Arabidopsis thaliana: one gene and its partner. The protein of the gene in region 1 interacts with the protein of each later gene in a pairwise test. Each region holds a gene or a part of one and is shown in the gene's direction. Other genes may lie near its edges.

Region 1 (3,759 bases):
GTAGTTTCTAAATCAAAACATTAGCATTAAAGGTATGGATTGCGTTAGTTAGAAATTTGTTAGGTTGTGGTTAAGTAAGAAAGCCTAAAGTGAGAAAGGTAGTTGCGCTTTGTTAATAACGATTAACAAGCATTAAACCTAATGACCGATTCATACGTAATGCATTAATAAAGTTATGGTGGATATCAATTAACAAGAAGATGTTAACACTCAACAAAACATTTTATTACGATCTGAACTCTTAACCACATTAAAATTTTGGGTACTAGGATTTTGGAGCAGGTAAATATATGGTGTTGGGAGGGTAATCGTCATTATATTACCATATTTCTAAACCCAAGATTTTATGACGTTTAATTTTTTGGAAAAAAAATTGAGTACTACATTGCATTGGTCAAGAAAACATTAGAAAATCACTTCCGTGTTTTGAGAAGAATAGTATTTTTTCCGACTTGGTTCTGTTGTTTCAATGAGAATATAGGTTTGTGTTTGGTATTTTGAGTCCAACTAAAACTGGAAAAGAAGTCATAATGTTGTCACGTAGTTTTCTTTCCTGAAAACGGACTAAATACATAGTTGCTGAGTTTAGTATTCTTAAAACTAGTCGTGATTTGATTTGAAAATAATATTACATGTATCAGAACTTCTTCTACATTACAATATTGGAATTCTTAATATATATATATATATATATATATAACATATATTCTAAAACAAAAATGATCGTAACATGTGTGCAGAGATAAAAAATAGTTAAATGATGCTAATGGTCCCTGATCGCCATTTGAGTAGTAGCTTGTCAGAAGTCACTGACTACTAGTGATCAAATATACTCTCTCAATATAACATATTCCTCCCTAACTTATAAACTTTTCACATTCATCACAATGTAATGCATTACTTAACTACATTAGGTGGTTAAAACTCCTACTTAATCTCATCAAATGTTTCCGGACAAATCATATTTTAAGGAATATAATAGAAATACACTGAGACTTAACCATTTCAAAACTTTAGTATACATTACACACTATATACAGATATACTGTCTAACTGATAATGTTATTTTGCCCTGTATGATTACTAATCAGAGTTTACGTCTAAAACCGTCCAAAAGAATCCCTTAACTTAGCTAGGTAGCTTTAGCTTATGAAACTTTGACAGACTCAATCAATTCATCACACACGATAAATACAAAGAACTACCTCTATTAAAGACGAGTAATATCAAAGTACGAGGAAATGTGTGAAACCTGACCATTGAACCAAGTGACTTTAATGCTATCGCCAGATGAAATTGATTGCAAATGTATGATATGATAGGAATATAGGAGGACACCACTACAGATAATATTGATTTTTATAGGGACATCAGAAGTTAATATATCAATCACTTCAAAACGTTTTTCAGATTATTAATTGTGAAATCGACCACCGTAACATTCCTTTCCAACTAGGAAAAGGACAATGATGCTTCGCAGATACAACATGTGGTACCATCACCAATTATTATTATTTTTATAGGGAAAAATTATTTAATGGCACACAAAAAAAGAAGAGAAAATTATTTCATTTTTTGTTTAAATCTGTTCAAATAATATCTTTGTCCTAAACAGATAATATCTCATTTTTCATATTAATTATATATTTTCCACGTTATGAAAAAAGAAAAACTGATATTTATTTGTTTACATGATACATTTACAAACCAAAAATAAAATAAAATATACATCTTGCTTTGCTTCGATCATAACAAATCACAATCATAATTGATTTATCTGTTGCTATCATAAAAAGTCAATTAAAATAATTTAGAAAAATTAAACTTTAAGATAAAGTTTCAAATAATATAGGGGATATTATTAAACAGAGATATGTAATAAAAGAAGATAGACAGTAATGTTTTTTTTTTTTTTTTTCATCCGATAGACAATAATGTTTAATTAATATAAAATCATAAGATCACACATTGGATTTAATATTATACAAGTATTTTTGTGATCAGTAGACATTTAATACTATACTAATCCAACAAAAGAAAAAAAGATGTAGTAGGCCCATAAATTGGCTTAGGTTTAATGGGCTTTAGGCCCATAAATTGTTGTCTAAGAAAAGGCCTTGGCCTGATTGGTAACAAGTTGACATAAATTAATTCTTCAAAAATCTCTTCTGCAATCTCATCGTCACAGTCACGGAAATGGCGGAACACGCAAAACGACGCGTTTTAAGAGCATATTACCTACTCATCCATGATGATGATCTGTTGTAAGAATCGAATTCTCTCCTTCCCTCATCTCATCTCCTACCTAGATCTCTCTCTTCTCTTCCTCTCATTTCCTTCTCCCTTACTAAATTTCCTTCTCTAATCTCTACTTTGTCCAAAAGCATTTAACTTTAACCGGAAAAATCTTACATTTTTTTCCTCCTGGATCTCTCTCTCTATATCTGCAGATTCACACTACAGCTGATTTAGATCTATTTCGTAAGTGGGTCTTTCAAAGTCGTCTCCTTTGATCTACTTTGATTCAGGGTTAGGATTAAAAACTTCTCCTTTTTCTATAGTTGCTTCACTGTTTCTATTCCATGGAGAAAGTTGCTAGCTTTAATTTGCCAACTTACTATTCTTATGTGTAATAATCGTTTGCAGGGTCGTTGATTTGGTGATAAGTCAGTAGAAATGGATAAGGAGAAATCTCCAGCACCTCCTTGTGGAGGTCTTCCTCCTCCATCTCCATCAGGTCGATGCTCTGCATTCTCAGAAGCTGGTCCCATTGGTCATGGTTCAGATGCTAATCGAATGAGTCATGATATTAGCCGTATGCTTGATAACCCACCTAAGAAGATTGGACATCGGCGAGCTCATTCTGAAATACTTACTCTCCCTGATGATTTGAGCTTTGATAGTGATCTTGGTGTGGTTGGTAATGCTGCTGATGGAGCTTCTTTCTCTGATGAGACTGAAGAAGATTTGCTCTCTATGTATCTTGATATGGATAAGTTTAATTCTTCTGCTACATCTTCTGCCCAAGTTGGTGAGCCATCAGGAACTGCTTGGAAAAATGAGACAATGATGCAGACAGGCACAGGCTCAACTTCCAATCCTCAGAATACGGTTAATAGTCTTGGCGAAAGGCCAAGAATCAGGCATCAACATAGCCAATCTATGGATGGTTCAATGAATATCAATGAGATGCTTATGTCGGGAAATGAAGATGATTCTGCTATTGATGCTAAGAAGTCTATGTCTGCTACTAAACTTGCTGAGCTTGCTCTCATTGATCCTAAACGTGCTAAGAGGTAATTGGTTTTCGTTTTTCTTCTGTGATTCTCTGGTTTCTTAAATCCTGTTTATAGTGTGGATGGACACGGTGACTATTTGTGTGCTTTTGGTTTGAACCTTAATGCCACCAGTCATTTAGTTGCTTCAGCTGTTCCCACATAACTTCAGCTTTTTAATGAGTGGAGCAAGTGTATAATTTGTTTTTGTTTCATACAATAGGATATGGGCAAACAGGCAGTCCGCAGCACGATCAAAAGAAAGGAAGACGAGATACATATTTGAGCTTGAGAGAAAAGTACAGACTTTGCAAACAGAGGCTACAACTCTCTCAGCCCAGTTGACCCTCTTACAGGTTAGTTTTGACTCATTGTACGGTTGTTCTTTCTTCATGCTAAATGAAACTAAATCTAGCCTTACAACGTTTGTTCGTGCATTGTGATTTTTTATGGGTTGAAAACTTGTGCTCTTTTCTTCCTGTTT
Region 2 (3,759 bases), 1.7 Mb from region 1:
GACAATGCATCATTCTTTTTTTGTTCTTCCCATGTTCTTGTCCTGTCTTTCAAATGAGTAACATTATCATAAATAGCAATTGGACTGCTTCAAAATATATACTTGTAAATGAATAAGATAAAATACTTTTATCAAATATTTCTTGGAAAATCAATATTTGAAACAATGCTCTGGACTCGCTTTTCAATTTGTTAGTTTCTTTGCCAAAATCTAAGGCCTAAGGGGAACAAGGCAGCTGTCTTTAGTTCTACTTAAACATAGACTTTAGTTTCGAAAGAAAGGATAAGAATCTTTGACCATTACAAATTAAGATGACTCGAAATTATTGATTCCATATACTATTTATAAGTGATAATTATTTACATTAGATGTTGATATTATGCGCAGGATCATTCCGAAGTCTCTAGCACCAAGAGAGGTATTTACAAATCTACCATACATTCTAACTAGCAGTGTGAAGAGCTTAACAAATGTATAGTTTATTCTGTATCGTCCAAATATATATTCAGTAAAATATATGTGAATTGAAACATTTTAATTATGATGAATGTGGGGTTTAGATAACCGGTGAATCAATAGGAGAAGTTATAACAGTATCGACTATGCACCAAAGGAAGGCTGAAATGGGTCGCCAAGCGGATGCCTTCATCGCACTTCCTGGTTTGTTTGTTTTTATTATTCTTTTTCAATCTATGTATTTTGTAAAGAATAAAAAAGATGTCTATATATGATCATGAAGGTTAATAAAATTAATTTGTTTGGTGTTATTGGACAAACAAAATAGGTGGATATGGGACATTTGAAGAGTTGTTGGAAGTCATCACCTGGTCTCAGCTTGGGATTCACACTAAACCGGTAATTAATTAAATTCGTTGGTGAACCCCAAAAAAAAAAATATCGTTTAGATATGACTTATGAGTACACATACGTTGAGACTCGAGTCAGTAAAAATACGGTTATCTCGGCAAACCATTAAAAAAAATAAAAAATAGAGATGTTGTCATATACTATGTATTTTATGGAGAAATAGAGATTTTCCTGATGAACTTACACAAATAAGAAGAAGCAAATTTCTTTGTTGGCTATATATGTGGGCATGTGGCATGGGTTGAAGTCTATATTCACATGGAATAATGTCTTAACTCTTACCTCTTGACAACAACAACAACAAAAAAATGTCTTAACTCTTACCTAAGATTTTGTCCCAAAAAAAAACACTCCTACCTAAGATCAAAAAAATAAAGAGAATCATAGTTAAGGTTGTGAAAACTACTCTAAAATCATATCGTACACTAATTAATGCATATAAAAAAGATTAGATTAAAACATGTAATATACACACACGAAGACTTTGTATACATAATACATGGTCAAAAAAATGCGAAACCTGAGAATATGAATTAAGTATATAACATAATGCGAAGTTAAAAAATGCAGGTGGGACTATTGAACGTGGATGGATTCTACGATTCACTATTGACGTTTATAGATAAGGCAGTGGACGAAGGCTTCGTCTCCTCCACCGCTCGCCGTATCATTGTCTCGGCTCCAAACGCTCCTCAATTACTTCAACTTCTTGAGGTTTTTTTATTTGCCTTTCATTACTTTTTGATTATTCTATTTAATACTATAGACTAAATGAACGAATCCCAAAATAGGATAATTAAATTAATTTGTAATCGCAGGAGTATGTTCCAAAACACGACGATTTTGTATCCAAAATGGTGTGGGACAATACCACGGATGCTTTCACTTTGGAAGGCGACTCGTTTTAGATATAGTTCATTTGTATCTTAGTCTACTTTTATTTTATTATTAAAAATCTCGTTTTTTATTGGCCATTTCAAATTTTTGATTTTTGTATACCATGTATTGAGCTTATATAACAATGGAACTTGCCAAAATCAAATTACTTACAAGCCACATGATTACATAATGGATAAAAAAATAACACAAAACCAAGTCCGTAAAGTATCGACAACTAATTATAAGCTAAGAAAAAACCAATCATTTTCCAAGCATTGAGACTTCCATTCTTAAAATAAGAATATGAGGCCCAATGGGCTTGGCAAGAAAGTTAAACAAAAAAAAGAAGAAGACAATTTTACAATTTTGTCAAGTTTTCAATTGAAATAAACCGGTTAAATCCCAATTTAAACCGGATCAATCAAGATATGGTAATCCCCTTCTCCTTCTCCAAAAATCACAACTCTGTTCCAAGTCTTATCCTTTCATCATCATCATCACTTACCTTCTTCACAGAGAGAGAGCTTCATCATCATATGTAATGTGAGATGTCTCTTGAACAATGCAACAAGAAGCTCTCTCTTTCCTCTCGTCCTCTCTCCCTTCCCTTCACCACAATTTTCCCTCTCTTTCTCGCCTCCGCTTCAACAATTTTCCCGCACTTTCCTTCAAACCAAACACTTCATCATCATCTTCATCATTCTTCAAATCCCCAGATATACCCTCTCTCTCCTCCACCACAACAACAACAACAACCACCGAAACCCTAGAATCCTCAATCCACGAGAAACTCATTTACCTCGATTCACTCGGAATCGATTTCCTAACCCTAATCAACCGTCATCCACCTCTCCTCTCCACCGCTCTCTCCGCCGTTGAATCAGTCGTCGATTACATGACCACTCCACCAATAAACTTCACTTTACAAGACTTTCGCCGCCTCGTCTCAATGTGTCCAGAGCTTCTCACTTCACCTTTAACCTCACACACAATCCCAGTCATCACTTTCCTCCTCCGTGAAGTCGGCGTTGACTCTATCTTTGACCTCCGTCAAGCTTTACGACGTCGTCCTCGTCTTCTCGCTTGTAGCGTCGATCACCAGCTTAGACCAACGCTTTACTTTCTCCAGAGAATCGGAATCTTAGATCCGCATAAACATACGTATCTTCTCTCTTGTAGCGTTGACAATAAACTCGTACCACGGATTGATTACTTCGAGAAGTTAGGATTCTCGCGGCGGAGCGCCACCGCGATGTTTAAGAGATTCCCGCAGCTGTTTAATTACAGTATTGCTGAGAATTATGAGCCGAAGTTGAAGTATTTGATGGTGGAGATGGGGAGAGATGTTAGAGAGGTTCTTGAGTTTCCTCAGTATTTCTCGTTTAGTTTGGAGAATCGGATTAAACCGAGACATGAAGCTTGTGCTGCGAAAGGTGTGAGGTTTCCATTGCCGGTGATGTTGAAGACTAATGAAGCTGGTTTTAGAGATACATTGGAGGTATGTTGTGATTCTTCTCCGCCATTGAAGACCTCTCGCCTTGTTACTGTACAAAAAGATTCTTGATTTATAGAGTTTTGTGTGCTAGGAGAACATGGAAGCAAGTGAGTGAGAGTTTCTTGCTTTTTGTTGTTGTTTTTTTGTTTAATGGAGTTGGAGAATTGGTGAGAATTGATGGGGTTTGCTTTGTTTTTAGGTACATTTTTGTAATGAATGATGATGAAGAACTCAATGAATGAAGAAACCAGCCTCTGCCTACATTTTGAGACACACACAGGGATGGTGAGTTAAATCTTGATAAGAGAAAGAATGTTCATTTACAATTCACGATTCCGATGTATTTCGGTCTAGTTATTGTTAGTGAACGAGAAATCAAGTGTATGTAAGTCCAGAAACCGTGTAGAGTTGCGATTTGCAGAGAATTGTGATTCTACAATTGGAGGCAAGATGATGAATGTGTGAACTGATTAGCGTAACGGTTTAGTTATTGGTCTTAAGTCTTAACAGGGAGAATT

What was found. Proteins that work in one complex are often made in the same cells at the same time.
Region 2: the proteins of AT2G31370 (region 1) and EMB3114 interact in a two-hybrid assay, tested with the Arabidopsis thaliana proteins (one large-scale study listed by BioGRID).

What each region holds. Positions count from the first base shown.
Region 1 is NC_003071.7:13,376,772-13,380,530, forward strand, and holds the start of AT2G31370 (Basic-leucine zipper (bZIP) transcription factor family protein), read left to right. Parts: upstream 1-2,157; 5' UTR 2,158-2,529; intron 2,530-2,646; 5' UTR 2,647-2,676; coding exon 2,677-3,296; intron 3,297-3,498; coding exon 3,499-3,631; intron 3,632-3,759. UniProt on the Arabidopsis thaliana protein: Putative transcription factor with an activatory role.
Region 2 is NC_003071.7:15,114,873-15,118,631, forward strand, and holds the start of EMB3114 (Mitochondrial transcription termination factor family protein), read left to right. Parts: upstream 1-2,142; 5' UTR 2,143-2,308; coding exon 2,309-3,310; 3' UTR 3,311-3,348; intron 3,349-3,440; coding exon of another isoform or gene 3,441-3,461; 3' UTR 3,462-3,759. Other genes in the region: LOG2 (Putative lysine decarboxylase family protein), read left to right, coding at 388-418, 561-660, 785-855, 1,438-1,581, 1,686-1,775. UniProt on the Arabidopsis thaliana protein: Transcription termination factor required for chloroplast gene expression and protein synthesis in chloroplasts. Necessary for chloroplast photosynthetic complexes assembly by modulating the accumulation of photosynthetic proteins. Essential for embryogenesis.